Linked DNA regions of Pelodiscus sinensis. The protein of the gene in region 1 interacts with the protein of each later gene in a pairwise test. Links are inferred from orthologs where the notes say so. Each region holds a gene or a part of one and is shown in the gene's direction. Other genes may lie near its edges. The genes, in order: AIRIM; ZBED1; keratin, type I cytoskeletal 19; VPS52.

Evidence for each region.
Region 2: the proteins of AIRIM (region 1) and ZBED1 interact in binary tests that used the Homo sapiens proteins (3 or more experiments, as listed by UniProt). The two-hybrid records come from large-scale screens. The link is inferred for Pelodiscus sinensis from reciprocal best matches to the Homo sapiens genes AIRIM and ZBED1.
Region 3: the proteins of AIRIM (region 1) and keratin, type I cytoskeletal 19 interact in binary tests that used the Homo sapiens proteins (3 or more experiments, as listed by UniProt). The two-hybrid records come from large-scale screens. The link is inferred for Pelodiscus sinensis from reciprocal best matches to the Homo sapiens genes AIRIM and KRT19.
Region 4: the proteins of AIRIM (region 1) and VPS52 interact in binary tests that used the Homo sapiens proteins (3 or more experiments, as listed by UniProt). The two-hybrid records come from large-scale screens. The link is inferred for Pelodiscus sinensis from reciprocal best matches to the Homo sapiens genes AIRIM and VPS52.

Annotation. Positions count from the first base shown.
Region 1 is NC_134735.1:10,126,087-10,133,128, reverse strand, and holds the start of AIRIM (AFG2-interacting ribosome maturation factor), read left to right. Parts: upstream 1-4,038; 5' UTR 4,039-4,060; intron 4,061-4,068; exon of another isoform or gene 4,069-4,196; intron 4,197-4,478; exon of another isoform or gene 4,479-4,502; intron 4,503-4,531; exon of another isoform or gene 4,532-4,573; intron 4,574-4,670; exon of another isoform or gene 4,671-4,803; intron 4,804-5,675; 5' UTR 5,676-5,727; coding exon 5,728-5,999; intron 6,000-7,042. Other genes in the region: CDCA8 (borealin), read right to left, coding at 709-837, 3,095-3,191. UniProt on the Homo sapiens protein: Part of the 55LCC heterohexameric ATPase complex which is chromatin-associated and promotes replisome proteostasis to maintain replication fork progression and genome stability.
Region 2 is NC_134711.1:222,622,470-222,629,591, forward strand, and holds the start of ZBED1 (E3 SUMO-protein ligase ZBED1), read left to right. Parts: upstream 1-4,117; 5' UTR 4,118-4,143; coding exon of another isoform or gene 4,144-4,255; intron 4,256-5,478; exon of another isoform or gene 5,479-5,557; intron 5,558-7,122. Other genes in the region: DHRSX (polyprenol dehydrogenase), read left to right, coding at 4,144-4,255.
Region 3 is NC_134739.1:10,238,954-10,246,304, forward strand, and holds the start of keratin, type I cytoskeletal 19, read left to right. Parts: upstream 1-4,332; 5' UTR 4,333-4,431; coding exon 4,432-4,869; intron 4,870-7,351. UniProt on the Homo sapiens protein: Involved in the organization of myofibers. Together with KRT8, helps to link the contractile apparatus to dystrophin at the costameres of striated muscle.
Region 4 is NW_027465970.1:106,898-114,860, forward strand, and holds the start of VPS52 (vacuolar protein sorting-associated protein 52 homolog), read left to right. Parts: upstream 1-4,957; 5' UTR 4,958-5,043; coding exon 5,044-5,112; intron 5,113-5,777; coding exon 5,778-5,862; intron 5,863-6,144; coding exon 6,145-6,197; intron 6,198-6,272; coding exon 6,273-6,348; intron 6,349-6,732; coding exon 6,733-6,881; intron 6,882-7,150; coding exon 7,151-7,326; intron 7,327-7,634; coding exon 7,635-7,785; intron 7,786-7,914; coding exon 7,915-7,963. Other genes in the region: RPS18 (small ribosomal subunit protein uS13), read right to left, coding at 983-1,058, 1,275-1,366, 1,804-1,905, 2,061-2,147, 2,799-2,897, 4,537-4,539. UniProt on the Homo sapiens protein: Acts as a component of the GARP complex that is involved in retrograde transport from early and late endosomes to the trans-Golgi network (TGN).

The DNA of each region.
Region 1 (7,042 bases):
CTAGTATGAAAGCAAGAGTTATCTTAAACCACAAATCTGTGGTTGTTTATGAATCCATATGGACAGGGTATTCAATTTGCCTCTTCTTATTTCCAAAGATTTTTAAGCACATGATTGTACACCTAGTTAATCCAGTGTCACACTTTACATTGGCTCATGTACCAGTGACTTTAAGATATACAAAGGAAAAACTTGTGAAGTCTTATTTTGATTTAGCACTTTCATACAAATAAATGTATCTAATATACTGACTTTAAATGCAATGTATTATAAAAGAAATAACATAATTATAGATAACAATGACAATATCAATAGTAATTATGTTTACGTATTCATTGTATGCAGGCCTGCTACAGGGTGGGGATGGGAAGAAGGGAGCAGTTGCCCCGGGAGCCAGCAATTCAAAAGGGACTGGGGCTCTAGGCCACCGCTGTCATAGCAGTGGCCAGAGTCCTGGGCCCTTTTAATCGCTGCTGGAGCACCATCTAGCACTCTCCAGGTGACTCTGAGGGCTGGCTGCCCCAGCTCTGCCCTTCTGGGAGCATGGAAGCAGTCTCTTCCCACCTTGCCCAGGAGGCTGGCAATTCTCTCGGCCCAAATAATCGGGAGGGAGGGAAACAAAGTCCACTAACTGAATAAATTTAACTCATAACTCAGTTACAGCTCAAAATTATGTTGTCAACACATATGGGAATGGATGGACCATACCAAAGTAGTCAAGCCAGTTCATCTCTCTCAGTGCTAGAGGAAGTCTGAGGTTTTCTATGTTATAAAGATTATCCAACTCCTTGAGAAGACTTCGCCCATTTGTTTGTATCTGATCAATTCTAGTTTGGACTAAACGAAAAAAAGAAAATGGTACGATTAACAAATATATAGAACAAAAATATTATTTAGGATTTACACATCAAGGCTTGAATTTATGTTTCTCTGAACATCAGCAAAAATCTATTCCCTTATGAACACGCTTTTCTGATCAAATCTATTTCATTCATCCCAAGTGAGTTAATTAAAATGCATAAAAGTATGTCTACAGTGCTTCTGCACAGACAGTCCTAATACCAATAGTAGGGAATAGTAGGGTTTTACCTTACCCATCAATGAAGGCAATCCGCTTCGAGAGGCACTAGCTAGGTTGATGGAAAAATTCCATAAAGGTAGAACAGATTGTTACCTACCACCTGTATTGCAACTAGGAATGTGAAAGGTTAATCAGTAAGCATCACCTTTAACAGATATTGCTTACCAGTTCTGGTTAACAGGTGCAGGGCTAGAGCAGTTACCCACCAAGCATGGACAGGGGAGCTGTTATAGCCCCGCAAGGGCCTGCCACGGACACGGGCACTCCGGAGCAGTCACTGTCCACAGCGGGCCCAGGCACGCTGCAGGAAGAGAGCCACTCCAGCTCAGCCCCCACTCCCCGGCTCCCATTTAATTGATTAACCAATTAAACAGGATTTTACATCCCTAACTACAACCCATAAAGGATATCATTAAACAATTACAACCCATACTTGATGGGGATATCCTGAAAGATTTCTTTTCTGAACCCTCTTCTGGCCTTTATACAATCCCCCAATCCCATCATCAGAAATAAGGCCTCCACAGACCAAGACATTAACTCAAAGCAGCACCAGACACGGCCACAACAAAGAAAAACCTGTAAGCATATTTCCAGTGCTGCAATGACACACCCCTCAAAATCCATGGCTTGTAAGCATGTCTATCACATTATGGGTGTGTCTAGACTACATGCCTCCTTCGAGGGAGGCATGTAGATTAGCCAGATCGGAAGAGGGAAATGAAGCCGCAATTAAAATAATCGCGGCTTCATTTAAATTTAAATGGCTGCCCCGATCTGCCGATCAGCTGTTTGTCGGCAGATCGGGGCAGTCTGGACGCGATGCGCCGACAAAGAAGCCTTTCTTCATCGGCACAGGTAAGCCGAGGCTTACCTGTGCCGATGAAGAAAGGCTTCTTTGTCGGCGCATCGCGTCCAGACTGCCCCGATCTGCCGACAAACAGCTGATCGGCAGATCGGGGCAGCCATTTAAATTTAAATGAAGCCGCGATTATTTTAATCGCGGCTTCATTTCCCTCTTCCGATCTGGCTAATCTACATGCCTCCCTCGAAGGAGGCATGTAGTCTAGACACACCCTATGTGATGTATCTCGCCCAATGGTAGTAAATGTGTCACAGTAACATTGAAACAGTGAAACCAGACAAACACTATGTACTTAAAATGAACTCACACCAAAACATAATAAGAGTCAAAAATACTGTTTTCCCTCCGGGCACACACTTTTCGCAGAGGAATCAGCCTATGTCTGACCTCTCTTACCTCATCCTCAAAGGTAACCTGTACAACACCTACAAAAGAAGAGCCTGGGAACTTAAATTCATAAGTTTGCTAGATACTAAAAATCATGAACTAAATAGACACACATTGGATTTACGGCTTATTACAATAATCTATAACTCACTGGAGAGGTATTAATGGCCACTTCACATTGAATGGTCCCTTGAAATGTGTGTTAATCACTTATGCTAAACAATTTGTTTCACCTAGTATTTAGCTGTGACATTGTGAGTACATTTCCCCTAACTTGAAGAACAACTTTACATAAACTTGTTTCTCACCCACAAGAATTGGCTCAATATGAGATATCTTACGTATCTTGTCTCTCTATACATCTTATTGACAACCACCCAATGGTTAATATTTGTCAGCTGCCACTGACCTCTGAAAAGTAGTTCCTATTTTAGTTTAATTCCTGATAGCCCTACAGCAACAATGCAGCACACTCTTTACAACAAGTCTCCCCCGACCACAGACGCTCAAGAAAGGGCAAGGTTTGCATGAGCATCTAGAATTAAACCATTCTTAAACTCCTCAAAGTCATCCTTCTGGATCAAAGCTCTGGCTTTTTTGCTGTATCTGTCCTGCCTGTACAACACTTCAGTTTTCTGAGGTGTTAGTCTCCAGGGTTGTCAAGACAATAACTTTCACATGCATTAAATTAACCTGGAAAACAACTCAGGGCCCTAAAGTCTTTGTAGAGAACAAGTTTTATGAATGAGTGGAATGGTTACCTTCACAGTCAAAGTCCTTTAAAAATGCAGCCAGCTTTTTCTTTTTCACATTGTTTTTGCTGGTACCATTGTTTGTTTTCTTCTTGGATGGTGCCATGGTGTCAGATAGATCTGTGTAGCAGAACGGAAACAGCCATTTGCATTCATACAAGGAGGAGACACTTGCCAGTTAGAGACAAGAGGACTCTAGTCTTTTGGGAGCTACTGCTGCTCTATCCTCATTGAAAAATCAGGGCTCCTAGGCCAACAGCAAGCTACAACGTAGAGCGACGCATTGGTGCCCCAGACAGATGAGTGGTTCCCCAATACCAGGCAGTAGCTCCACCAGAGGTGGCATGGGGCTGAAAGCTCGGCATGGGCTTGTCTGAACAACATAGGGCTCATAGACTTTAAGGTCAGAAGGGACCATTATGATCATCTAGTCTGACCCTCTGCACAGTGCAGGCCACAGAATCTCACCCACCCCTCTTAGAATAATCCTCTCACCTATATCTCAGATATTGAAGCCTTCAAATACTTGAAGGCCCCAAGATGCAGAGAATCCTCCAGCTGTGATCTGTACCCCATGCTACAGAGGAAGGCGAAAAACCTCCAGGGCCTCTGCCAATCTACCCTGGAGGAAAATTCCTTCCCGACCCCGGTTGGAGCCTCTGGGCAGAAGAAGTTAAACAGACCCACAATGCTTTTGTCCTGGAATGAGGATGCGTCAGGAACAGCCATGCCCGGCCCCAATCCGCATCACCTCTGTCTTGTAGACAAAGCCGGCTGGGAACCCCTTGCCCTGCCCCAATTTCTTACAGCGATGGCTCCTGCTCAGTAACAGACTTGCAAGTTGCCGGCCTGGCCAAAAAAAAAACCTTCGAAAACAGACTTCGGGGGAAACTATGGAGCGGGACCTTCAGATGCAAAATGGACACGATCCGACGGAGTCCCAGCAGCCCCTGGGAATGGCTGGTTCCCACCCAGGTACGTACCCCTGCCAAACGGACGCTCCCCCTGCGCGCACCCGAGGAAGCGGGCGCCCAAATAAAACCGTTGAAGGAGCCACAGGGCTCTGGGGCGCTGCAGCCTGGGAGCGAGACCCCCCCAGACGCTGACACCGGGAGGTGATTGAACTGGGGCGGGCAGGCTGGGAAGCCCTGGGGTAGGGCCATTGCTGGGGAGGAGGGAGGAACACGTGACAGAAGGGGGGGGTCTGGAGGTGTCCCCCCCCTCCCGCGCGTGCTTCCCCAACGCAGCTCGGTCTCGCCCCTCCCCCCCGCAAAGTGGACCCCGACGCCCCGCGATTCCTTCACCGCAGAGCGGGACCCCCCTCCTCAGAATTACCCCCCCATCGGGGTCCCCTCACCTCACCATCCCCCCCCCACACCAGAGGGGGACTCACCTCGCCCCGCCCCCACCCAGCCGCGCCCCACGGCGCCCCGCAGCCCCACTGACCAACTCGCTCCCAACGCGCGCGAGCCGCCGCAGCTACATTCAAACCCGGCCGCCCAATCAGGCGCGCGGGGCGGCGCGCGCGGCGCACGCGCACAGGCAACGGCCGCCCGCGGGAGGCGGGAGGGCGAACGCGCCCTACCTCTCCCAGCAGCGGAGCCGACGGGGAGACTTCCGCTTCGCCAACTGGCTGCGTCATTTCCGGCCCGTAGGGCGGAACTACACTTCCCAGCAGGCGCCGGGGGCAGGGACGTCGCTGTGGTTGCGGGGCTCAGGTAAGGGTGGGCCCTGGGGTCAGGTTGCCGCTCTCCCGGCTCCCCCCATGGAGACCCTCCGCCCCTCCCCCCGGGGCCTTGCTCCCCCTCCCCCTTTGTCCCCTCATGCAGATTCCCTGCTCCCCCCCCCCAGCCATGCTCCTCCCCCCACATGGAGACCCCCTGGGGCCCTGCTCCCCGCCCCCGTTGGCTCCCATGTAGAGACACCCCCCCCCCACTCGGGCGGGGCTCTACCCTCAAATGTGTCCACCCCATAAATAGAAGCCCCCCCCCCCCCCCCAGTTTCCTGTTTCTAAAGCAAACTCTCGTCTAGGAGCTGCCTGGTCCCCTGAGGCCTGCGCTTCTCAGTCAGTGGCGCTGGTGGGTGGGCAGGCGGGTGAGCATGGACAGAGGGGCAGGAGAACCTCTATACCTGTGTGACGTAGTGGGGGTACCTGGCTGGTTTCTATGCTGCTGGCTCTGGGGTAACCCCCACTGGCTGCCATGGGTACACGACCCAGCGAAACAGGATGAGTCACTATGCAAACCAGTGGCCAGACACCCCCCATGGAGAGGAACAAAGGAAGGGGGAGGCTGCCCTGGCTGGGGAGCAGGGCTGGAGGAGAGTGAGTTGGTGGCTGTCTGGGAGCATGGAGGAGACAGCCTAGGGAAAGGGGCTGGAGTTTAGGGGCCCAGTCTCCCCCCATCTCAAGGGGGCCTGAGGCATCCTAGCCCAGCTCTGGGACCAGATTACATCTGTGCTGTGCTGTATCCTGAAGAGGCAATAAACTTCCTCTATTTCACCGGCTGGTGCAGTATGTTTGTGCCATTTCGGGGTGCAGGAGACGGGGGACCCCCAACGCGCCGTCACAACCTGTGTGTGCTTATTGCAGGTGTCTGGGCGGTGCCTATCCTGGGCTATACTCTGGGTCTGCCTATAAGAGGATGTCCGAGAGCCCAGCCGTTCTGGTCCTCCGTCAGTCCCTGCAGAAGTGCTTCCACACCGTACAGCAGCAGCAAGAGGTTTGGCAGCAGGCGCTGACGGATTGCAAGCCTCTTCTGAGCTCCCTCAGCAATCTGGCTGAGCAGATGCAGGCCTGCCAAAAGGTCACATTTGCTCATACACCACTGCGGAGTTTCCCAGATCTGGAAGAGCAGCTGAAGTACAAACAGCGCTGTGCAGCTGAGAGCCTGCTGGAAGAACTGGGAGGCAAAGTGTAAGAGGCTGTTGTGTCAAGACCTTTAAAGTTGTGAGCATCATGAAAGCCCAGACAGATATGCTGGGAGAGCTGGAATGTCTCTGTCTGGCCTATTTGCAGAGTTCACATCTGAAGGAGAGCGGATAAGTCAAGTCAAAGGGATAAGTGTCACGCTTCTTTCTGGAAATGCTGCAGCTATTATCCTAACACACATAATAATAACACATGAAAATTATTCTCTGTCTTTCAGTTTGTTTACTTCATCTTTATGTGGTGGGCCAGAGTCTCAGCTGGTGTCAATCCATGTAGCACCTTTGAGTCCTGCTGGAGCTTTGCTGATTTACAATAGCTATGAATCTGGCCGAGTGTTAATATTCATTTTTACGCCTTGTCCTCATTTTGTGTCAGTCTTTCTTACAGAATCTGGGAAGTATGTGCATTTGTGTGGGACAAACATTTAAAAAAAATAGGTAACTGTAAAACCACAAGAATAACTGCAGGTCTCAGCCATGTGTAATACCTAATAATTTAAAGGAGTTAAAAGTATTCATTAGATTTCAAATTACAATGTCTCTAAGTTATGTAATTGGTTCATACTTTCAATAACATGCTCTTTATCCATGGTTTTCAAACTACGGGTCACACCCCAGTATTGGGTCATGGAGTGTCAGGCACTGGGTCTCATTCCTGCAGAGTGACCAGTGAGGGTTCGAAGGCAGCTATCTGCCTGTCCTGGCACCGCAAACTGCTCTGTGCACCAGCAGCAGCCAGTAATAGGCTCGGCTCCTAGTGGGAGAGGGCTCTGTGCACTTCCCCAGCCCCGAGCACTCGCTACGCACTCATTGGCTGGGATACAGCATGGTCTGGTGTTGGGAGCAGCAGGAAGCCTGCCTTAGAACTCCTGTAGCACCACTGATGGGGAGACACTCAAAGTAAGCCCCTTCTGCTCCAGCCTTGACCCCCCCCAAGCCAGAGCCCCCTTTTACACCCCAAAACTCTTATCTTCAGCCCCACCCCAGAACCCACACTATAGTCAAATTATGTTAGGGCATGGGCATCAA
Region 2 (7,122 bases), on another chromosome or scaffold:
ATTAGCAGAAAAATAATAAAAATTCTGTTTTAGGTCAACTTGAAATTTTTTTTTTTGCAGACTTTTTTGTTCAGCCACCAACAATTATTTTGCTCAGCTCAAGTTGTTAATCCCCTTGATATCATGATTTTTCAGGTGTTTATTTTTTCTGTTTTAAATTATCATTTCATCTAATTTTCCAGCTGTAAACCATACTGATCTGTAATCCACTACATATTGAGTGGTCCCTCCCCCATTGTCCAGTCTCAGCTTCTGGAAGTCTGATGTCCTTAATCTCCATGAACATATCTAATTCGTTTTAACCCAATTATCCTTTTGGCCTTTACAACATCCTGTGGCAAAGAGTTCCATACGTTGACTATTTTATGTGAAGTACTTCCTTATGTTTGTTTCAAATGTGATGCCTATTAATTTCATTGGATGACTTTTTTGTATTATGTATAGGGGTAAATAATATTTCCTTATTCACTTTCTCAATGCCCTTCATGATTTTATAGACTTCTAACATATTCCTCCTTAGCCCTGGTCCAGTCTACAAATGTATGTTGATATAACTGTATTGCACCTTAGTGATGCAGTTATACTGACCTTACTCCTGGTGTAGACAGTGCTATACAGGCAGTCCCCGACTTACGTCGGATCCGCACTTACGAACGGGGCTTTCTCGCCCTGGAGGTCGAGGTGGCGGATTGCTACCTGCGAGCTCCAGGGCGAGAAAGCCCCGTTCGTAAGCTGCTCCGGTGCCCCTGCTCCGGTGCCCCTGGACGGTCCCCAGCAGACCACAGGCACCGGGACTGAAGTGGCAGCCGCGGCGGGTCCTGCGCCTCTGAGACTTTGCCAGAGCAAAGCCTCAGAGGCGCGGCACCCCGCTGCCGCTGCGGCTCTGCTCCCCGTGTCCCTGGTCTGCTGGGGGGGGGGGGGCGCAGCTAGTGTGCCCCCCCCCAGCAGACCAGGCTTTTGTTTTGGACCCTGGGGCAGAGCAGCTGGGGCGCTGCCGATTGGTCCTGCAGCGCCGCTCTGGGCACTACTGGACCAACCCGGCAGCACCCCAGCTGCTCTGCCCCAGGTCCTGATTCAGCCACTGCTGGTCAGTTTCAGCAGCGGCTGAATCAGGACGCCTGGGGTAGTGCAGATGGGGTGCTGCTGGGTTGGTCCAGTAGCACCGAGGAGCGGCGCTACTGGAGCAACCCAGCAGCACCCCAGCTGCTCTGCCCCAGGCGTCCCCAAGTCAGCTTCTGCTGAAACTGACCAGCGCTGACTACAGGAAGCCCCAGGCAGAGTTGCTCTGCCCTGGGCTTCCTGGAATCAGCTGCTTATCAGTTTCAGCAGCAGCTGACTTGGGGACGCCTGGGGTTCTTAAGTTGATTCTGTATGTAAGTCAGAACTGGCGGTCAGTTTCAGCAGCGGCTGAATCTGGACGCCAGTTCTGACTTACATACAGATTCAACTTAAGAACAAACCTACAGTCCCTATCTTGTACGTAACCCGGGGACTGCTTGTATTGATGGAAGGGCTTCCCCTATTGTCACAGTTACACCTTTGGGAGATGAGGTACCCACACCAAAAGGAGCAGGTAGCATCTTTACTAAGCACTGTATCTGCTCTGGTGCAGCCCTAGAAGTATAGCTAAGCCCTTAGTTGTCTCCTTTTTTAAAATCGAACCATCTCAGCCTTTTAAATCTCCATTGAGATAGAGGCTGCTCCATATCTCTAATCATTTTTGTTGACTTTCTCTGTACTTCTTTCCAGTTTCAAGATATCTTTTTGAGATGGCTAGACCAGAACTGAATGCAGTATTTAAGATGCAAGGATTTAACATTGATTTATATAATGACATTTTTTCTGTCTTATTATCTATCCCTTTCTTAATGATTCCTTACATTGTGTTATTTTTTGACGGATGCTCATGAAACAGATGTTTTCAGAGAAATAGCCATGATGACCAGAAGATCTCATTCTTGAAAGAAAAAAAACAAGAAAAGAGAGAAAAATTTATTCTTAGTTAAATATACTGGTAAAAGACTACCTCTATTGAAATTATCATCATCTTAACTCATTGTATTTCTTGATATGCAAACTGGAGATAACATTTATATTTATATAGCCACTTGAGATCTGTGCTAAGTGTTATTATTTATTAATAATTTAAGACTTCTGATTAGCTGCTTCCTTCAACTTATGACATATAAGAATGCAGGCTTTGCCATTCTGTCTCAAGTGACAATCATGTAAAATTAACTGAAGATTTAAAATCAAAAGCTGAGGATAACTTGCTGCTTACTTCTATAAAATATTGAGATATTCTGGTCACATGGCTGAAATGAAATTTAGTTGTCTGCTTTGGTAGAAACTTGTGAATAGTGATTTAAAGTTAAATGGTATTCAAATTAGAAGGCAAAATAAATTTAAAATCTGTATATTTTACTCCTACTCTGTATATTTTACTTCTACTTAGGCTGCTGCAATAAAAAAAGATAACTCAAGGGTGTCTGGTGTTCAAGATGCCACAAATTTTGCCTGAAATGATCAAAGCTTGTTTTATTAGGCAAAAGTCACCAACTTGTGTCTCAGAGCTGGAGACTAGTGGAATAACTTGGTTAACTCTTTATAATGACACAGCAGATTTGACACGTTAGTTCAGCTTAGAATAGGCTATGACCATCTATTCTACCAGGTAGATATTTACAGTAGATTCCACAGTAACAGAAACTATATATAAAAATGGCATCACTGAATTGACTAAAAGGAAGCTCCATTTCAGATACTGACAACTACTGCTAGTGAGTCACTGATGTTGCCCTGAGGCTTACATGATTTACAGAAATTCCATTAGGTGAGACTGGGAGTAGAACGGATGTTAAATTTAACAGAGCAAAAATTTAACCTCTGCTCTTTCCTCCCAAATGTTCTCTATTCTCTTTCCTCTGTCACTGCTAACACTGCTGTTGTCTCTGTAACTGAAATCTATAATGTGGGAATCATCTTTGAAGCTTCCCTGTCCTTTATCCTACAAATCCAGACTGTGTTCAGTTCTTGCCTCTTCTTTCTCCAAGATACTTCTACAATGTGACTCTTTCTGTCCACACAGTTAGACTTCTTGTCCAGATCCTCTTAATTTTCTGCCTTTATTACTATAACCTCCCTGTCTCTGGGCTCCCATACTCTGGTCCCTGGAAATCTCTAATCTCTTTAAAGTGCAGCTGCTAAAATCCGTGTGCATGGACTAGATGATCTTGGAAGTCCTTGACAATCTTGTCTGCAGGAGACTGATGTGTAAGATAATAAACTCCAACATTATAATAGATCATGATGGAACACATGGTCACAAACAGAGGCAAAAAAGAAGAGGTAGAGTGGGGAGGTGAGTGGTTAAGAAGGTGATGGGGGCAGCATTGTTCAGTTTCTCCAGGTCAAATTACAGAAGGGGCCCTTGTGGTCACTTGGTCTGACTCCCTGTGTAACACTGGTCATGAAACTTTTCCTCATATAACTCCTAGGACATGCTTTTTTAAAAAAAATCCGATCTTAATGTAAAAGTTGCCTGTGATGGATCCTTCCCCACAACCCTTAGCAATGTTGTTTGCACGGTTCATTGCCCTCGATGTCAAAGCTATCTGTCGCACATTGTATAACACAAGAGCAGCCGGCCTGGCCGCCTTCATATGGCTGTGGGGTCCCACTGGACCGAAGCTCCCTTTCGGGAGGCACCCCCAGGATCCCGTCACTTTCCAGCTGCTCGCTTCTCCAGCCTGACTCCTCAGCAAATACACAAACAGCCCTTTCGCAGCCAGCTGGCTCCTGCCTCCCTGCCAGCACCTCTCCCCGACTCGGGTGGCCCCGTCTGACCCGCGCTTCTCCGCCACTCACCCACCCACCCGCTCGGCGCCCAAGGCGCCTCTGGAGGCACCGGGCTGCGGGGCCGCTTCCCCTGCCCCCGCCCCGGCGCGCACATGCCCAGAAGCGAGCGGCGGCGCGTCCGGGCGGTGCAGCCAGTGACAGCGGCGGCGCTTTCCCTTCCGCTGGGTGTGGGCTCTGCAGCGCCGCGCCCGCCCGGCCCGGGAGCGGACACAGACACGCGAGCGCAGGGCGGCGCGCCGGGGCCCCGTCCCCTCCACTCCCCGCGCCCAGGGGCCGGAGGCAGCCATGTCGCTATTGTCTCGGGCGCTGCCCGCGCTGCGGCTCTACGGCACCGGCCTGGCCGTCAGCCTGCACCAGCTGCTGCGCCGCCTGCGCCCCGGCGGGGCCCCCGCGCCAGGTGAGAGCGCGCAGCTGGCCCGCGCCCGGCGCTGCAAGGGGGAGCGCTGCGGGCACTCAGCCCGCTCTCCCCGGCCGCCCTGCCCCGCTTCCTCCCCGCGCGGGCTGGGGGAGGGGGAAGAGGCGCGTGGCCTGACCTTGTGAGCGCCCCGGGCCACAGCTCCCTGCCGGGGCTGCTGCACCGCCGGGCCTGGGCCTGGCCGCTGCTCCCCCCCCGCAGCGCGCCCCAGCCTTGCCCCGGGCTGCTGCCGCTGGGCCCGTCCCCTTGTGACTTTGCAGGCGGTTCCTGCGCTTGCTCGTCCCCCTTCCCCAGGCGGCTGCGGCCCGAGCTCAGCAGCCGGGGGAGACACCTGCGCACGCCCCCTCGCTGCTGTGCCGGCCCCGCTTCCTTCGCTAGACCCAGACAGTCGCCGCTTTCTCCGTTGCTGGACTTGCACCGGCCGCTGCGGTAGCCCCCAGCCAGGTCCTTGCATCTCTCTCTCGCCGCTGCTGGTCCTACCATGAAAAGTAGCATCGTGGTTAAGTTACTGGGCAGACTGAGCTCTGGGTTCGGTTCCCTTCTATGCCCCAGACGCTCTGCCAGACTTGATCAGGCCTGGTTTTTGATCCGGGTGTGCCTCAGGTCACGGCCCCCCATAGGTTTTGAGAACTGATTAGTGTTTGTGATGTGCTCCAATGGCGATTCCTTCTAGGTTTATCCCCATGATAATACCTTTCACCAATACCAAGTAACTTCTGCTGCTGTACCTACATTCTGAGCTAAAAGCTGCTGCTTTGCCTGGCTCCCTTCCTCAGGCTCCATCCCACACCAAGATACTAGACTAGAGCCCTCTTGTTTCTCCTTCCCTACTTTTGAATTCTACCACTCCAGTAAATTCCTCCATCTCCATTAAACTTGCTCACCTGGCTTTATTCCTGCACTCTTCTGGCCACTTAAGTTACGCCTCCAGCATTTGACAGTGGTGAATTTCTTCACTGAATTAGACTCTCATAGACAGTTAGTCTTCTCTTTTTCCCCAGGCATTGGTGGGAGTGTTGGTGTTCATATTCTGAATTCAGAATATATATTGTCATTAATTGCCAGCATATAAGGTGACAATTCGTTGGCATTCAGTTTGCTCTGTAGAGATTTAGCTTAGCTCTTTTTCTGACAATTTTGTGTTACATTTGTAAATTATTTTTATGGTCAACTGAAAACTTAATGATGATCTGTTTCCCCACATTAGGTGTCTATGAAGGAAGCTTAGGGTTTCCAGAAATGATTTATCTGGGAATCCCCTCAGGCCAGATATCAACGCAATAGGTATCTTAAATTTAAAAACAAATTGATTTTTTTAAAAACACCTGAATTTGTTGGTGCTTCTAAGAGCTCTCTGCAGCTTGTGAAGGCCTGAAAACTATATAAATAGCAACAGAATCATGAGACTCTGTAAAATTTTGCTCTAGTTTGCTTCAGTTTACTTTCTTTCTCTGACTAGCTTCAAATGTGGCTCTTATGGAGGTGTTGGTGGTTTTAACAAGAATAATAAAAATGTAGATGTATGAATGCAGTTCAATGAGATTATTTAAAATATGAGGTCCAAATCAACAGATTATATAGTTGAGGTACTGTGGAGAAGAGAAAATAAATTTGTGATAACTATTAATTTTTGTAAAATTAATGCAAAGACAGGACATAACAGATTTCCACCTATGGATTCATTGGGTAATGTTTTTTTTCAATATTAATAATACTAATGCAAATTTGGGCTTTGCTTTCTCATTCTCAAAAACATATAGCATGCCAAAAAGAAAAAAAACAAAACAGATCTGTGCCTACAGTTTTATGTCAGCTGAGCATTCTTCTTGCATTAGTTTTTCTTGGCAGATTAAAGCTGTGTATTATGCCTCATGTGTGTAATAATGCTTTTAATATAATTTAAAACTGAACAGAAATATGACAAAGTTTGAACCAAACATTTATAATATTTTAATCTTTAATAGCATTAATAAATCAGAAAATATAAATAATTTGTTTGAAACACTGATTTAAAAACAATTTGTCAACAAGAATATTTTGTTATAGACAGTAGGCTAGTCTAGATAACATTTCAGTATGATTACAATATGATAAAAACAACACTTTAAAATATAAAAATAATTAAGTACATTTTATAACTGACATAGTTAATCTTCAGAGGGGTAATCGAGTTAGTCTGTACAGGATAAACTTAAAAAACAACAAATAGTCTGGTAGCATTTTAAAGACTAACAAAACATGAAATCATGAGCTTTCGTGGGCACAGCCCACTTCTTCAGATGACTGGAGTGTTGGATGTCCAGAGCCAAAAATAAGTGATCTGCTTTTATTGGAATACATCAATAATTGTGTGAAGAAGTTAGTAAACTAAAAATATTTTGAAATACAGAAGTTGAAAGCTTTTTCTATCCCTTGTAATCCTCAATTCTCAAAATACAATTTTTGGTAATAAAAAGATACATAAATCAAATATCAGTTGCCTTATCATGAGAGACATCACAAAAAACTTTGGGGGGAAGGAGAGAGTGGAAGAGTTGTAGTTTCACACCCAATGCTCTTGGAAAAGGACTTTTAACTTATTTGATCGCAGCTACACTGACAAACCACATCGCCAAAAATCAGCATGGCTGTGTCTAGACTGGAAAGTTTTTCCACAAAACCATCTGCTTTTGCAGAAAAACTTGCCAGCTGTCTATACTGGCTGCATGAATTTCTGGAAAAGCACTGACGATCTCATGTAAAATCATCAGTGCTTTTCCGGAAAAACTATGCTGCTCCCGTTCGGGCAAAAGTCTTTTTCCGAAAGACTTTTGCGCAAAAGGGCCAGTGTAGACAGCATAGTACTGTTT
Region 3 (7,351 bases), on another chromosome or scaffold:
TCCTGTTGGGCAGGTTTTTCCTGTCCTAGGCTGAGGAGGACTCAGATCTTTTGTAGGCAAAACTGTCACCAGTGTTTCTTCCTAAAGGCTCTATATTTATACCACAATCTTTTGAGAGCTATTTCAACACAGTAGCCCATATTGAGAGAAAGGAATCCAACCGTGCTGCTTCTAGAGGTGTGATTCACAACTTTAACTAAGGCAGCACATCAACTGCTAATTGTCTTTGGTTACAACCCACCATTACATATATGTACTTTCTACTCCGGTACCACAACTATAATCCTGGCCCAGTGTGGAGAGGAGGCCATGAGAGTTGAGGTTCTGAGGTACCTTCTATCCCAGTGATTCCCAACCTTTTTCTCATGGAGGAACCCCTAAAATAATTTTTCATATCCCGAGGAACCCCTTCCTATGAAAACGTTTGCTTGGCTAGAAAAAGTTGACAGCAGGGAGCTCAATTCAATTACTACTAAATTATTGTCAAGAAAATGTATTTGTCAAGAGCCGTTATATATATATGTCAGCTTACATTGTAAGAAAAAAAAGTGTATTTATTTATTCCACGGTTTCTCACGGAACCCCTGACGATGGTCTGTGGAACCCCAGGGTTCCGCAAAACCCTGGTTGGGAAACACTGTTCTATCCCATGGGGCTGGTCACGGCTCCTCAGTCCGAGCATGGTGACATGATGCACAGGATCACAGACTCACTCAAGTTTGGTGCTGTAACATGAGCCAGGTAGGCACACACGGAGCAGAAAACCAGGCCCAGCCATGCAGAACTGGAGCTGCTGCTGGGAGGGAAGTGCCAGATGGATTTGCACCACAACTTACCCTATCCCACCATGTTTCTCCTCCATGCTGGAAGAAGTGTATATTTGCCCAGGCCAAGGTTAATCAAGCCCTAGATATGGTAACACATCTACAGGTTTCCCACAGCTGGGCTGGGACCCACTTTTGGGAAATACTGCTCAGTGACCATATCACTATCAACTCTATGTAATTATGCCATCTAATGTACAGGTATTTGCTCTTTATGTATCATCATTAAATCACTATTGGCTTACTGGCAAAATGAAAGCAGCAATTAGAAATGAAAAAGCAATATACAGTAAAATCTGTGTTATCCGGCACTCTCGGGGATTAGGGCATTCTGGTTATCCAAAAATTCTGGTTATCTGAGGGTCCCATCAACCTAGGAAAAACCAATGGACAATAATAGTAAAACTCAAGTGTTTAATATTGGTAGTTTTGTAGTGGGAGGCAGATGATCTCACATTTCTATTTTGAGTTAAAGATGATTAGTACTTCTTACGTAAAAAATTGTTAAGCCAGTCATGGTAAACCAAGCCATGCCTGTGCGCCTGAAGATGTGACAGTATTGTGACTGGGAGCAATGCCGGTTAACGAAGTTTTCTGGTTAACAGAGTGCTGGATAACAAAGCTTCCACTGTATAGCAAATGGAAAAAGGGAAAATAGCAATCAATATAAACTAGAAGGTATGAAGTATAGAAAATTGATGAGTGAAGCTAAAGACATTAAGGAAATATCCATGTTTGATAGACCCAGGACCAATACGAAGTTTTTAATGTATATTATGAACAAAAGGAGTCCTAACAATGGCTTAGATCCGTTACGAAATAGAAATAGTAAAACTGGTTAAGGTATTACAAAAGCAATTTCCCCATCTGGATATTCACATCTCCACACCAAATGCTGTGAATGACCCACTTCTCCCTGACTTGATAAGCTTTGTTAACACAAGTAACTTTTTCCTTATATATACTCCTGCTTCTGTAACTTCTACCTTATTTCATCTGATGAAGTGAAATTTACCCATGAAAGCTTATACTCTAATAAATCTGTTAGTCTCTAAGGTGCCACAGGACTCCTTGTTTTTTCGGTTTTTTTAAATATAAGCGTAAATCACAAGCCTTCAAAACAACAATGCCAGTGATTGATCTTGTGACATGTTTGAAAAAGACTTATAAAAACAAGCAAGAAGGAAGAAAACAAGCCCAGCTAGCATACAAGCCTTTGTTGAATTAGACTGTAGCTTTAGCTACAATCTATAGATCTGTTCATTCAAATTTCTGTCCTCTCGAATCTGAGTCCCAATGAAACTTGGCGAAGAAATAGCGTGCAGAACTGCCGGTACTATTAAACTGGACAAGCAGTGTATAATTTTGCTGCACACTTTTAAACACCTGCTGCGTTTCACTATGTCTGTGAGAATCATCCACAGGCACTGAGTTGGAGTGGGTATTTTGTTTGGTTTCTCTCTCGTGTTCTTATTTTTGTATTGTACGGATTGTACCCAAAGTGCACAGGGGACATCTTTCTAAGTTGCCTTGGGGTGTTCAACACCTGCTCCACTGCAGGCCCCACCCTCACCCCAACAATTCCACCCTCCCACACCTGCCTGTCTCTTCTCAGACCTCCTTCACCTCTTCCTGCCCACACTTTCCCCCTTCCTCCCAAGTGCCTCCTGCATGCCACTCAATCCAAGGCAGGCAGAAAGTGCTGGGAGGGAGGGGCAGGAGCTGAGTGCTGGGGCAGGAAAGGCTGGGAAGAGGGTTGTGGCCCTGATCCAGGTAGTTCCCAGTAGGGACTGATCACGGTTGAGGCCTTGATCCACAGCAATGCAAAACGCTAGTGCACTTGCTCCTGTCATTCTCTAAGTAACATTTTCTGGATGGGGCTGAGGGGAAGCAACAGAAGAAAAAGAAGCAAAATCCCAGCTGATAGGGAGGCCTGTAGATATGCTAGAAGCACCAACAGCAAGACTTTTCTGTCCAATTCTTGGATAATAAAGGATTTTCGCACATTTTAGAAATACCGATTTCATTAATGTCAAAGGATACTGCTCCACCTGCTGCTGTTCTCCTGCCAGTTTTGCCCTTTGCAAAGTGACACATGAGTTTATGATCAATTGATCGGCTCACACAAGAAATGCTCAGACAGTGACGGTTTAAAGCAGTGGTTCCCAAACGTTTTGACATCACGCCCCCTTTTTGATTTTTGAGAAACCATCATGCCCCCCCCCCCCCCAATAGCAGCAAAACTGGTTAAGCTAAAAAAAAAGAGAGAACTGACAGGCTGAAAAACAAAAATAGCAGCAACATTTTTTTTGTGGGAGGGAGAGCTGGTTTGCCTCATGCCCACCCCCCCCTGGAATTTCATCATGTCCCCTCAGGGGGGACATGCCCCCCAGTTTGGGAACCCATGGATTATCTGAAAAATAATAGGAAGAGCTCCCTGTCAGGGTGGCGAAGCCCTAGAATAAATTGCCAAGGAAGGATGTGGAATCTCCATCATTGGAGATATACTTTGCTCATAGAGCTGGAAGGAACCTTGAGAGGTCATTGAGTCCAGCCCCCTGCCCTCACAGGAGGACCAAGTACCATCCCTGACAGGTTTCCCCAGGTCCCTAAAGGGCCCCTTGAGGATTAGAACGCACAACTCTTGCTTTAGCAGACTAATGCATAAACCACTGAGCTCTCCCTCTCCCCTCATTTTAAAGAGCAGGTTAGACAAACTGCTGTCAGGGATGATCTAGGCTAGGGTAATATTTAATTGTGCCATGAGTGCTGGGAACAGACTACTAACCTCTTGAGGCTCCTTCCAGTCCTGTAATTCTATGAATTAAGGCTAGGAAAATAAATCAAACCGTGGCCACTGAAAGAGACTTGCCATATTTAGAAAAGAAACAGATATTTTCATGTCAGCCATTTCCACAATCAAACCCTTTGTCCAGTTGTCCTCCCAGAAGGAACTGAGAGCAAAGAGCTTGTGCTTCAAACGTTTTTTTTTATCCAAAGACGGAATTTACAGGAGAAGTAACAAAAAAGGCGGGTAAGTGTGGGAATCTATTTTTCCAAAGCTCACTCCTTGCAGTGCAGTTTGTCATCTGGGCTCCCTTTATACAAGGTTCTATGAGCAGCCTAACAGCCACTAAGTGCATTACTGTTCATTGTACACCTTCAGTTACCTTGTGGGAGTCTTCACAAAAGTGCCACAAAGGAGGCATTGTACCTTGCTGAAGAGTGTGTGCTTAAAGGTCTTTTGTTTCCGTAGAAGTAAACTATCACTGTAGAGTCACAAAAGTCTCTTTGAGCCGAAAGACACACACCTTTTGTCTGAAGAGGAAGAGAGGGGAGGGAAAAAAAGAAATCTGGTATGTGTGAAAGTATTTGGATAAGAGACACAGCCCACTTCATGTCAACTGACCAATAAGAAGAATTTCAATGCTGGCAAAAAGCTTAGGGCTGATGAATTCCACAGTGCTTACATATCATGTTCTATGGACAACTCCCATTGTCACAAGCATAAAAGACGCAGGGTCGGAGTGAGAGTCTTTCACTCCTACCTCCAGAGTACAAACTGTGTGAATTGTGCTTAGAGTAGGATTCTTGATATTTACTCAGCATGTCCACTTACAGCTTGAAGCAAATAACCTCTTCGGGCTTAGGTAATTTTAGTGGTCCCTCAGCCAGACGAGCTGTTGGTTTCTTCGGGACTCCGAGTGTCCATGGGGGATCTGGTGGCAGGGATATCTCTGTCTCTACTGCTCGATTTGTCTCTTCTGGGTTCGGAGGTGGCTTGGGTGCTGGATATGATGGGGGGTCATACAGTAGCTTTAGTGGTGGCTTTGGTGGTGGCGATGGCCTCCTTTCTGGAAACGAAAAGACAACTATGCAGAACCTGAATGACCGTCTGGCATCCTACCTCGACAAAGTACGTGCTCTGGAGGAGGCAAATTCTGACCTAGAAATTAAAATCCGAGACTGGTACCAGAAACAAGGACCAGGGCCAGCCCATGACTACAGCTTATATTACAAAACTATTGAAGATCTTCGAGACAAGGTTGGTGTTAAAGTTTGTTAAGAAGCATCTAAGGGTAGTCCAAAATATTTGTTAAAACAACACACATATAGTGTGACTGCTTTTAACAGCTGAAAGAAAATTATTTGCAGATAATAACTGTTTTATAGTGTAACTATGAAAGACATATTTGGCCTCCATTGCATTTCTGAAATGTAATAAGAAATGAAAAGAAAAGCCCCAGTAGATATTTAGCCAAAAGGAATGGTGGATTATGGAAGAGTAGAAAAGTGATGTGGGTAGGAAGTGATTCAAAAAAGATGGACAATGGCAATGTTCAGTATGAAATGTATCTCCTATTAAAATTGTTAGCTAAATGGCTGTGTTACACTTCTGTTTAAATCAGGGGTCTCCAACCTTTTTAAGCACAAGATCACTTTCTGAATTGAAGTGCAATTCAAGATCTACCTCAAACCCAAATACCCTTACCCTGCCTCCTTTGTGCCCCTTCTCCGAGGCCCCGCCCCTGCTCACTCTGTCCTCCCTCCTTCCCCCATCCTCTCACTTTCATCAGGCTGGGGCAGAGGGTTGGGGTGCAGGCTCTGGTCTTGGATTAAGGGATTTGGTGTGTGAGAGGATTAAGGGATTTGGTGTGTGAGAGGGGTTTGTGGCAAGCAGTTGGGAAGTAGAAGGGGGTTCTAGATGCAGGCTCTGGGAGGATGTCTGGCTGCAGGGGTGCTCAGGGCTGGGGCAGGGGTTAGGGTGAAGGAGGGGGTTCATGACTGGGGTAGGAGTTTGGGATGTGGGCTCCAGCTGGGCACTGCTGACCTCAGGTAAGGCAGGCTCACCCTGTCCTAGCCCTGCACCTCTCCCAAAATGCAGCCAGCAAACTCCATCCCAAGTCCTGTTGTGCCCCCTCTCTGCTCTGTGGAGATAGGATACCAAATGGGAGAGAAGGTACCTTGACATCAGCACCCTTTCCCTCCCTCCCGTGCCCTGCAAATAAAGCAGGAGGCCTGGGGTGGGGGTGGCGGGTCAGCTCCAAGGCAAAGGGCAGGAGATGTGCAGCAGTTCAGGAAGGGGCAGGTGAAGTGCCGGCACTTAATAGCCTGTTGGTCAAACCAGTCAGGATCACCTGTCAGAGGCTCCAAGATCGAACAATAGCTCCCGACCTACTGGTTGGTGACCACTAGTTTAAATTTTGTAAAACTACCGTGGATAACTGTTTATCTCTGCAGTCACCTACCAATCATACGCTTTTGTTTAAGCTTCTGGACAGCCAGTGCGCGCACTGCTTTAACAGTTATCGGAGAAGAGAACTCATCTCTTTACAGTTAAAATAAGAACGGACCAAATAGAGGGGTTTGCACATGTGAACTGGAGCACTTCAGAATTTTAACACAACACAGATTTTTCTGGCCCTTTTTATTTTGCCTCCTGAGCTTGAACTTTGAAGAAGTATTTAAAAATGTACTTAAAAAAGAAACAGGAGACATTAACTAAATTAAGTGCCTACAAATCATATAACTATAGGATTTATTATGCCTTAGCAAACTCTTTAGTGAACAGTAACTGATTCAGAGTAGTTCACGCCCTAGAAGATATACATGATGGCTGATTGATCTGTGTAAACACTTTATCTCATGGGGAAAACCTAAAGTTTATTTTTCCAATTTTAGCATAGAGTTCATGACCCAATCCATGCAGTTTCCTTTCCCCTGGGCTTATCTCACCGCACAATGCACTGATTCCAATCTCCTAAAAAGAAGCACTGGGATTAAATTATCTAATCTGAAATCTCTTGTGCTCTTGCTGTTTATTTCCAGCTCATGAAAGTAGGCAGCTCCTGCTTTCCCAGGCCACATGAGACTACCAGATCACCTACTCGGACATTCTGTAAATCATGTGCCACAACACTACCCAAAATGCACACAGTAAACAAAAATAAAAATTAGAGCTAAGTATTACAGCCAACAGGAGACTAGATTATTATATTTTACAAGCGGAGAACTGGAGGGACCAATGCTTAATGTCCTGCAATGGCAGGGAAATGAGAAAGTGAGATATATCCAGATAATTCTTGCAAGTGACCCGCATCCGCATATTTCAGAGAAAGGTGAGATTCCCAAAGGTCACCACCAGCTCCTGCACCCTTCCTCCTGGTCGGATGCCCCAGCCCATCTCAGCCCCCAATGGGGCCACCAGCTAACATGGGCCTCATGCCACAGTTTTAGCCATGGGGAATTTGTTGGTGGCTTCCCAGCTGCTACTGGGGCCCTAATAAGGCCAGTCTGACCTGAGGGAAATTCCTTCCCAACCCCTTATAAGGTGTTTTTTATAGTAAATTTGTCAGATGAGGTATAGGAAAAAAAATAAGTAAATCAATCTCATTGTGTGGTTGTCCATAGTGTAATACAGGACTCACTCCGAATTCTGAAGTATGGAAACTCCAGGGCTGTGTCTACACTGGACCCCTTTTCTGGAAATGCAAATGCAGTCGGGATTTAAATATCCCCCACTTCAT
Region 4 (7,963 bases), on another chromosome or scaffold:
TTAGGCTGATACAACTCCTAGGGGATGTGCTAGTAAGAGTTTGGAATTTAATCATTTAGAGAGAACTTGTAGGCCCAACAGTTCCAAAATCCAGACCATGGAAGGGGGGCAGGGCTGTAAGACTCAGAGGCATCAAGGTAGCATAAATTGGGTCCAATACAAAGCAGACCGATGGGAGGACATGAAAAACAAACAAACAAAAAATCCAAAGTCTGCTAGCACCTTAAAGACCAACAAAACACGTAGATGGCGGACAAGTGGACAGCCTTGGAACATTACGAAGTGCTGTTACAAACAAGACAGCCTTGAAATAGCACTGGGAGGGAGACCCCAACATACTGATGTCAGTGAAGAACTCCCAGATAAACAGATATTAAGCAGAACAGATGGTGATTAAGCACTGATGAAGCAAAACGCATAGACCTGCATGGACGGAAAGTCCTATCAAAGATGGAGCGTTTTGAACAAATCTCCGGGTGTCATGAAAATCGGAGCAGCCACCCAGACTGAGAAAAGGCCCCGATCCTCCCCCGCGCACGTAACCTGCCTGGCCAGTGAGTTAATGCGAACAAGACTGGTAACCCTAAGCAATGACAAGGTGTGGGGGCTTGTGTTTGAGGCAGAGACGGTTTCCTACTGTATTCTCAGTAAATGCAGCGTATTGCCTTCTCCCGAGAAAGATCCCCTGTGCTTCTTATAAGCATAAGAGGGGGGCTGTTTGCACAAGAATGTGGGGGGTTGTCAGAGCCCCCTCAGGCACGCTTCCAGACCTAGCACTGGGGCAGGCGCCCCTGCATGGCGGCATAGAACCCAAGCCAGAGTGATCTTTTCCCACCTCTGCGTCTCCCCACAGCCCTTCCACTCAGACCCTGACACGCCCCCCCCCATCTCTCCCTGCTGGAGTCACTGACTCCTAGCCCCCCACACAGAGCGAAGCAGCAGCTGTGAGAATAGCACTTTATTGCAGACAGGGGGGCAAATTCTACTTCTTCTTGGAGACTCCGACGGTTCTGCCCCGGCGCCCGGTCGTCTTGGTGTGCTGACCTCGCACACGCAGCCTGGAAAGAGAGGGGGTGAGATGGGACCAGACCCCAGCCTGTCCTGCCCCCCAACCACCACTCCCAGTTCCAGGCATGACTCCCCAGGCTATGGATCCGCCCCCCAGCTCCGCATCATCCCATAACCCACCCCCACAGCCCACTTGCAAAGTCTGTGCCCAGTTCCCGTCCCCTTATCCAACTCAGCAGCCTGCTCTACCGCCACCCTCTCCGTACCCCCAGAAGTGGCGCAGGCCCCGATGTGCCCGGATTTTCTTTAGCCGCTCCAGGTCCTCGCGCAGTTTGTTGTCCAGCCCATTGGCCAGAACCTGAGGGTGAGAGACGTGGGGGAGGGCAGGTGAGGAACAGCCAGACTGATCAGAGCCCAACTCCCCGCCTATGCCAGGGAGCAGCCCCGGCCGGCCAGAGCCAGGGGCCTGCAGGAGCAGCTTTGGGATAATCAACCCCTGAAGCATGATCACTGGAGAGCAGAGATGGGAGATCCCCGGCCGGTGTCAGCAGGAGCTAGTTCAGCCTGGATCATCAGCCCTGGATCGCCACTGAACTGACCCACAGCCGGGGCAGAGGGTGCCGCAAGCCAATCACGGGGACGTCTCCTCGCTCATGGACTGGGATACGCAGTGACTTGCGAGACTCCTAGCGCACCCAATGGGCTGGTGCGCCCAGCACACCCCAAGCCCCCCGCTGCCTACGGAACCCCAGAGCAGCCCCTGCGGCTGGAACAAGCCCAGCCCCCCGCTCTCACCTGGCTGTATTTCCCGTCTTTGACGTCCTTCTGCCTGTTGAGGAACCAGTCGGGGATCTTGTACTGACGGGGGTTCTGCATGATGGTGATGACACGCTCCACCTGTGGGGGGCAGAGATGGGGTCACCCCGGAGCTACCCCACGGCTCTTCACCCCACCCAGCCTCCCTATCCCATTCCCTCCCAGATAGAGCTCAACCCCAGCCCCTCCATACCACTTTCACCCCGAAATGCCAGCTTCCCTTAGAGCCCCCTCACCTCGTCCTCCGTCAGCTCCCCAGCCCTCTTGGTCAGGTCAATGTCGGCTTTCCTCAGCACCACATGGGCGTAGCGCCGGCCCACGCCCTGGAAACGGGGGAGCGAAATGTTAGCATGGGCCAAGGGCAGGGGCCCAGCATCCCCCCCAAAGCAGCTCTGTCTCAGACGCCGAACAGAGCGGAAGCCCCACCAGCATGGGAGAAGCTGCCACAAGGGGGGACAGCACAGACCCGGTTTAACCCCCCCGAACCCCCAGCCTCGCCTGCACCCCACGCAAGGAGATGGCTTTGTTCCCCACGCAGTGTGGGGATCACCCATGTCTACGGCTGCTTTTGGCCCTGGCCCCCTTGTCCGTCTCAGCCGTGCAGCACCCTGCCTGCTCCGCCATGACGGGTCAGCCCTGGACCCCCAAGCACCCTGACAGGGGCTCACAGCAGAACCCCACCTCCCCGAGCAGAGCACCCCACGGGCAGGCTGAGGCGCTCGGATACGTTCCCAGGGCAGCCGGCCGTGCTCCCCAGCGGCGGTACCCTGGCCCCCTTGTCCGTCTCAGCCGTGCAGCACCCTGCCTGCTCCGCCATGACGGGTCAGCCCTGGACCCCCAAGCACCCTGACAGGGGCTCACAGCAGAACCCCACCTCCCCGAGCAGAGCACCCCACGGGCAGGCTGAGGCGCTCGGATACGTTCCCAGGGCAGCCGGCCGTGCTCCCCAGCGGCGGTACCCTGGCCCCCCTCACCTTGATAGCGGTGATGGCGAAGGCGATTTTCCGTCGCCCATCGATGTTTGTGTTGAGCACTCGCAGGATGTGCTGGAATTTCTCAGGGATCACAAGAGACTGGGGGGGGAATAGAGGGGTCAGCACTGGAGAGCTGGGCTCGCTCTAATACCCCCCCCCCAATACGCCCCATCAACACCCCCGGCCGACCTTCCCAGTGGGGGCAGGCTGCACACAAACCCCAGACCTCCCGGTGCTACCGACAGCACCCCCCAATATGTCCTGCTGCCTGGCCCCAGGCCCGCCTCCCCAGCAACCTCCCCACTCGCCCGAACCCAGGCCCACCCAGCCTAGCCCCATGCCTCCACCTGCATGGCCCAATCCCAGACCTAATGCCCCCTCACAGCCTCACCTGCCCTAACCCAGGCCTACACAGCCCCCATACTCCCCCCTGCCTAGCCCAGCCCCAGACCTACCCCTCCATATCCCCACGAGCATAACCCGGCCCCAGACCTACCCCTCCATATCCCCACGAGCATAGCCCGGCCCCAGGCCTACCCCTCCATATCCCCACGAGCATAGCCCGGCCCCAGGCCTACCCCTCCATATCCCCACGAGCATAGCCCGGCCCCAGACCTACCCCTGATACCCCCACGTGCATGGGGACGGACAAGGGGGCCAGGCCCCAGACCTACCCCCCCATATCCCCACGAGCATAGCCCGGTCCCAGACCTACCCCCACGTACATGACCCAGCCCCAGACCTAGCCCCCCCATATCCCAACATGCATGGCCCAGCCCCATAACCACCCCTGACACCCCCACGTACATGGCCCAGCCCCAGACCTAGCCCCCCCATATCCCAACATGCATGGCCCGGCCCCAGACCTACCCCTGACACCCCCATGTGCATGGCCCAGCCCCAGACCTACCCCTGACACCCCCACGTACATGGCCCAGCCCCAGACCTAGCCCCCCCATATCCCAACATGCATGGCCCGGCCCCAGACCTACCCCTGACACCCCCACGTGCATGGCCCGGCCCCAGACCTACCCCTGACACCCCCACGTGCATGGCCCGGCCCCAGACCTACCCCTGACACCCCCACGTGCATGGCCCGGCCCCAGACCTACCCCTGACACCCCCACGTGCATGGCCCGGCCCCAGACCTACCCCCGACACCCCCACGTGCATGGCCCGGCCCCAGACCTACCCCTGACACCCCCACGTGCATGGCCCGGCCCCAGACCTACCCCCGACATCCCCACGTGCATGGCCCGGCCCCAGACCTACCCCTACCCCTGACACCCCCACGTACATGGCCCGGCCCCAGACCTACCCCTGACACCCCCACGTGCATGGCCCGGCCCCAGACCTACCCCACTCCTCTCTAAGCGGCTCCGGCAGCAGCCAGCCCCCCTGGAGCCCCATAGCCCCTCCAGCAAGCAGAACGGACAAACCTCAGCCCCCCCACCCCCCAGACGAGCCAGCAGGCACCAGGCTCTGCCCCGCTGGGCCCATCCACTGCCCCCGGCCCGGCCCCCCGGGAGTCCCCAATTCGGGCCTCCCCGCCCTTCCCGGGGCGCGCTCGCGGGGCGGATGGACCCCGACTGGCGCCCCCGCCCCGGCCCCCCCGCGGGAAATGGGGGGCGCCCCACAGAGCCCCGGCCCCACCCTCACGGACGAGCCCCCCCCCGGCCTGCCGGGGCCCCTCCCCGGGGCGGATGAACCGAGATTCCCCCAGCCCCCCCGCACTCACCATGGCGGAGACTTCGCGCTCCAGTCTCGCCCCAGCCGGAAGAGGGAGCGGAAGTGACGTGCAGCCTCTTATACAAGCTCCCGCCCACTAGAGGCAGATAAGCTTCCGGTCAGGGCAAGACAGCTTCCGGCAGAAAACCAGACTTCCGTGTCCTCCCCGTAGTCCTTCCGGTCAGCCTCACACGGAGTGCCAGTAAATTAGCCCCTTCCACGCTGTGCAACAATCAGTCCCGTCCGGGTATGAAACCTGACCCATGACACATGGTTCCTAGGGGGTTATGTCCCTCCGTTCCCCTGGGGCTGACTCCCTTTAACTCCAGGGGGGATTTTCATAAGTAATCACCCGCTTCCGTGCCCTGGGGGGGGGCTTTGCTACCCCATTTCCGGTACGACCCCGCCCCATCCGGTGCATCATGGGAGTTGTAGTTTTTCAAGGCGTGCGGCCGGAAGTGAGCCCTTGGAGACCCGGAAGCGGCGGTAGCGAAGGAAGCGTGAGGAGGGGGGGACGATGACGGCGCTGGGGCCCGACGAGGAGTTGGGGCTGCGGGCCGCCGAGATGGAAGACGAGGAGGGCTTGGTGAGGTGCCCCCCCGCCCGACTTCCGGTCCCCCGGCACCCACTTCCGGTCCATGCAAAATTGGCCCGGGGGGGAACCGCCCCCCCGGGCTCCAAACTGCTCCCCCCGCCTGCGGGCGCTTTTCTGTGAACTTTGACCCCCGACCCCGTGACCTCCAGACCTAGGTGCGCCCTGACCCCAGCATGACCCCTCCATCCCCACTCTGCTCTCCCCTCCCTGTTGTGTGACCCCTGACCTAGTAACCTCTGACCCCCCTGGTGCCCTGACCTTTGACCCCACCCCTTGCACTGGCCCCCCTCCCTGTGCTCCCCCAGCCCTGACGCGGGGACTGGCAGACTCACCCGGGGGGGGCTGCCGGCTCCCCCCCCCGTGGCCCCTGGTGAGTGCGACTGTCCCGCGCCCCCTCCCAGGCGCAGCCCACCCGGCGGTGAGCTGGGGGCCGAGGCAGCGCCAAGCCTGGCTCCTGCCGCTCCCCTGCAAGGGGCGGAGCTGCTGGCCTGGCCGGGCCCCCAACTCCCTAGAGACGGTGTGATGTACCGTGTGACCCCTAGCCCACACCCCGTAACTCGGAGCCCTGTATTGCAGCCTCTGGCCTGCGCTGTGCCTGCCCATGCCCCCGCAGTCCCCCCGGCCCCCTACGTAACAGCCTGACCTGCTCTCCCTAGGGGTGTGGCGAGGAGCAGTCGCTGCAGCTGAACTTGGGGGACCTGGACCTCACCTCTGATGAGTTCATCCTGGATGAAGTGGACAGTAAGTGCTGGGGCAGGGAGCGTACGCAGCCAATGGGGGGCAGGCAAGTGATCTGTGGAAGTGCGGGGGGGAGGCATGAGGTGGGGATCTGAGAGGGAACAGGGGAGGTTGGAAGAGCACTGAGAGGTGGGGGGGAAGCCGTGAGGTGGGGGACACCAGGAGTAGTTTGGGCCTATGAGGGGATTGGAGGAGGGTGGGGGAATGCAGGGAGGTGGGGCACTATGGGGAGGCAGGTTTTGGGGAGCACTGTTGTGGGTACTGACCCAGTCTGCCCTCCCGCAGTTCACATCCAAGCCAACCTGGAGGACTCCCTGGTTCAGGAGGCGCTGAAGACTGTAAGTCCCCCCTCCACCCCCGGGCCAGGGCCCAGCTGCCCTGCCCCAGCTGGTGACTGACCCCTCTCTCCCCAGGGCGTGGACCTGCGGCAGTACTCCAAGCAGGTGGAGCTCGAGCTGCGACACATCGAACATGCCTCCATCAAGGACTGTATCCTGCCCCCCCGCTCTCCGGGCACCGGGCAGGGAGGACCCAATGTCGGGGAAGGTCCTTGCACCAGGCAGAAAACAGGGCCTGGTTTACGTGCAGGAATGATGGAGGGCAGGGGTGTGACCTCCCGCATCGCAGTCCCCATGTGCGCGCAGCCCTCGTGTGCACATAGCCATACTTCATAACACCCTGGCGCGGGCCGGGGCGAGTCCCAGGGTCAAACCTCTCCCAGAGATTCCACATCCGCACTTCCAGCTGTACCGCTGTATTGGCTGGGGTGTCTCTCTCCGTGTCAGTGCAGAGGGGTGTCCAAGGGCAGCCCCCTCCCCAGAGCCTTCCTGCTGCCTGCACCCCCATTTCCTTAGCCGCCCGTGTGTCCTGCAGACATCAAGGAAAGCAAGAACATCACTTCCCTGCACAACCAGATCACAGCCTGTGACGCCATCCTGGAGGTGAGCCCCCCGCCCCCGGGTTCCCCCTTTCCTCTTGGGAAGCCCCGCCCCCAGGTCTCGGCCTGTGACGCCATCCTGGAGGTGAGCCCCCCTGCTCCTAGGTATCCCCCCATCCCCAGGTCTGTGATGCCATCCTGGAGGTGAGCCCCCCTGCTCCTAGGTATCCCCCCATCCCCAGGTCTGTGATGCCATTCCAGAGGTGAGCCCCCCGCCCCAGGGTCCCCCAACAACATCCTGATGCCCCCCCGACTCGCCCCAGCCCCCCCGATCACCGTCTGCAGCCTTGGCCCCTGTGCCCCCTTGCTGGGAGGAGGGGGCTGCGAGTCTGACGGCTCCGCTCCCGCCCCCAGCGCATGGAACAGATGCTGAGCTCCTTCCAGTGCGACCTGAGCAGCATCAGCTGCGAGATCCAGACGCTGCAGGAGCAGTCAGTGGCCATGAACCTGCGGCTCAAGAACCGCCAGGCTGTGCGCAGCCAGCTCAGCCAGCTGGTGGACGAGCTGGTGGTGCCGGCCACCATGCTCAGGTGGGGGCAGGGGCTGGGAGCCGGCTGCTGTGGTCAGGTGGGGCAGGAGCTGGGGTTGGTCGTGCTCAGGTGGGGGCAGGGCTGGGGGCTGGCTGCTTGGTCAGGTGGGAGGAGGGCTCCTTGAAGGGACAGGCTGGGGCCAGCTGCAGCTATTGGGGAAATGGGAGTCATGGATTGGACACCTTGGGGAAGGCCAGATGTGGGGGGTCTGGAGAGCTGGCCACAACCGTGGAGGGGGTGTCTCTGGGCAGAGCACTCAGGCTGGGGAGGTGTGACCCTGGGGTGCCCGTCTCCCTGCCCCCCTCCAGCACCATCCTGGAGGCTCCAGTGACGGAGCAGGAGTTCCTGGAGCAGCTGCACGAACTCAACAACAAGATCAACTATGTGAAGGAGCAGGCCTTCCGCGAGACCATGGCCTGCGCCGACGTGCACCACGTGCTGGACCGGCTCAAGGTCAAGGTGAGGCTGGGAGGGTCTGCGCTCACATGCATGTTGTGGGCAGCCAGGGGGAGGGGGTCACTGAGCTCTGCCCACCCTCTGGTCTGTGACCCCCCCCCCCCCCCCTTGTGCTCCCCTCCACCCTTGCAGGCTGTGACCAAGATCCGGGAGTTCGTCCTGCAGAAAATCTACTCCTTCC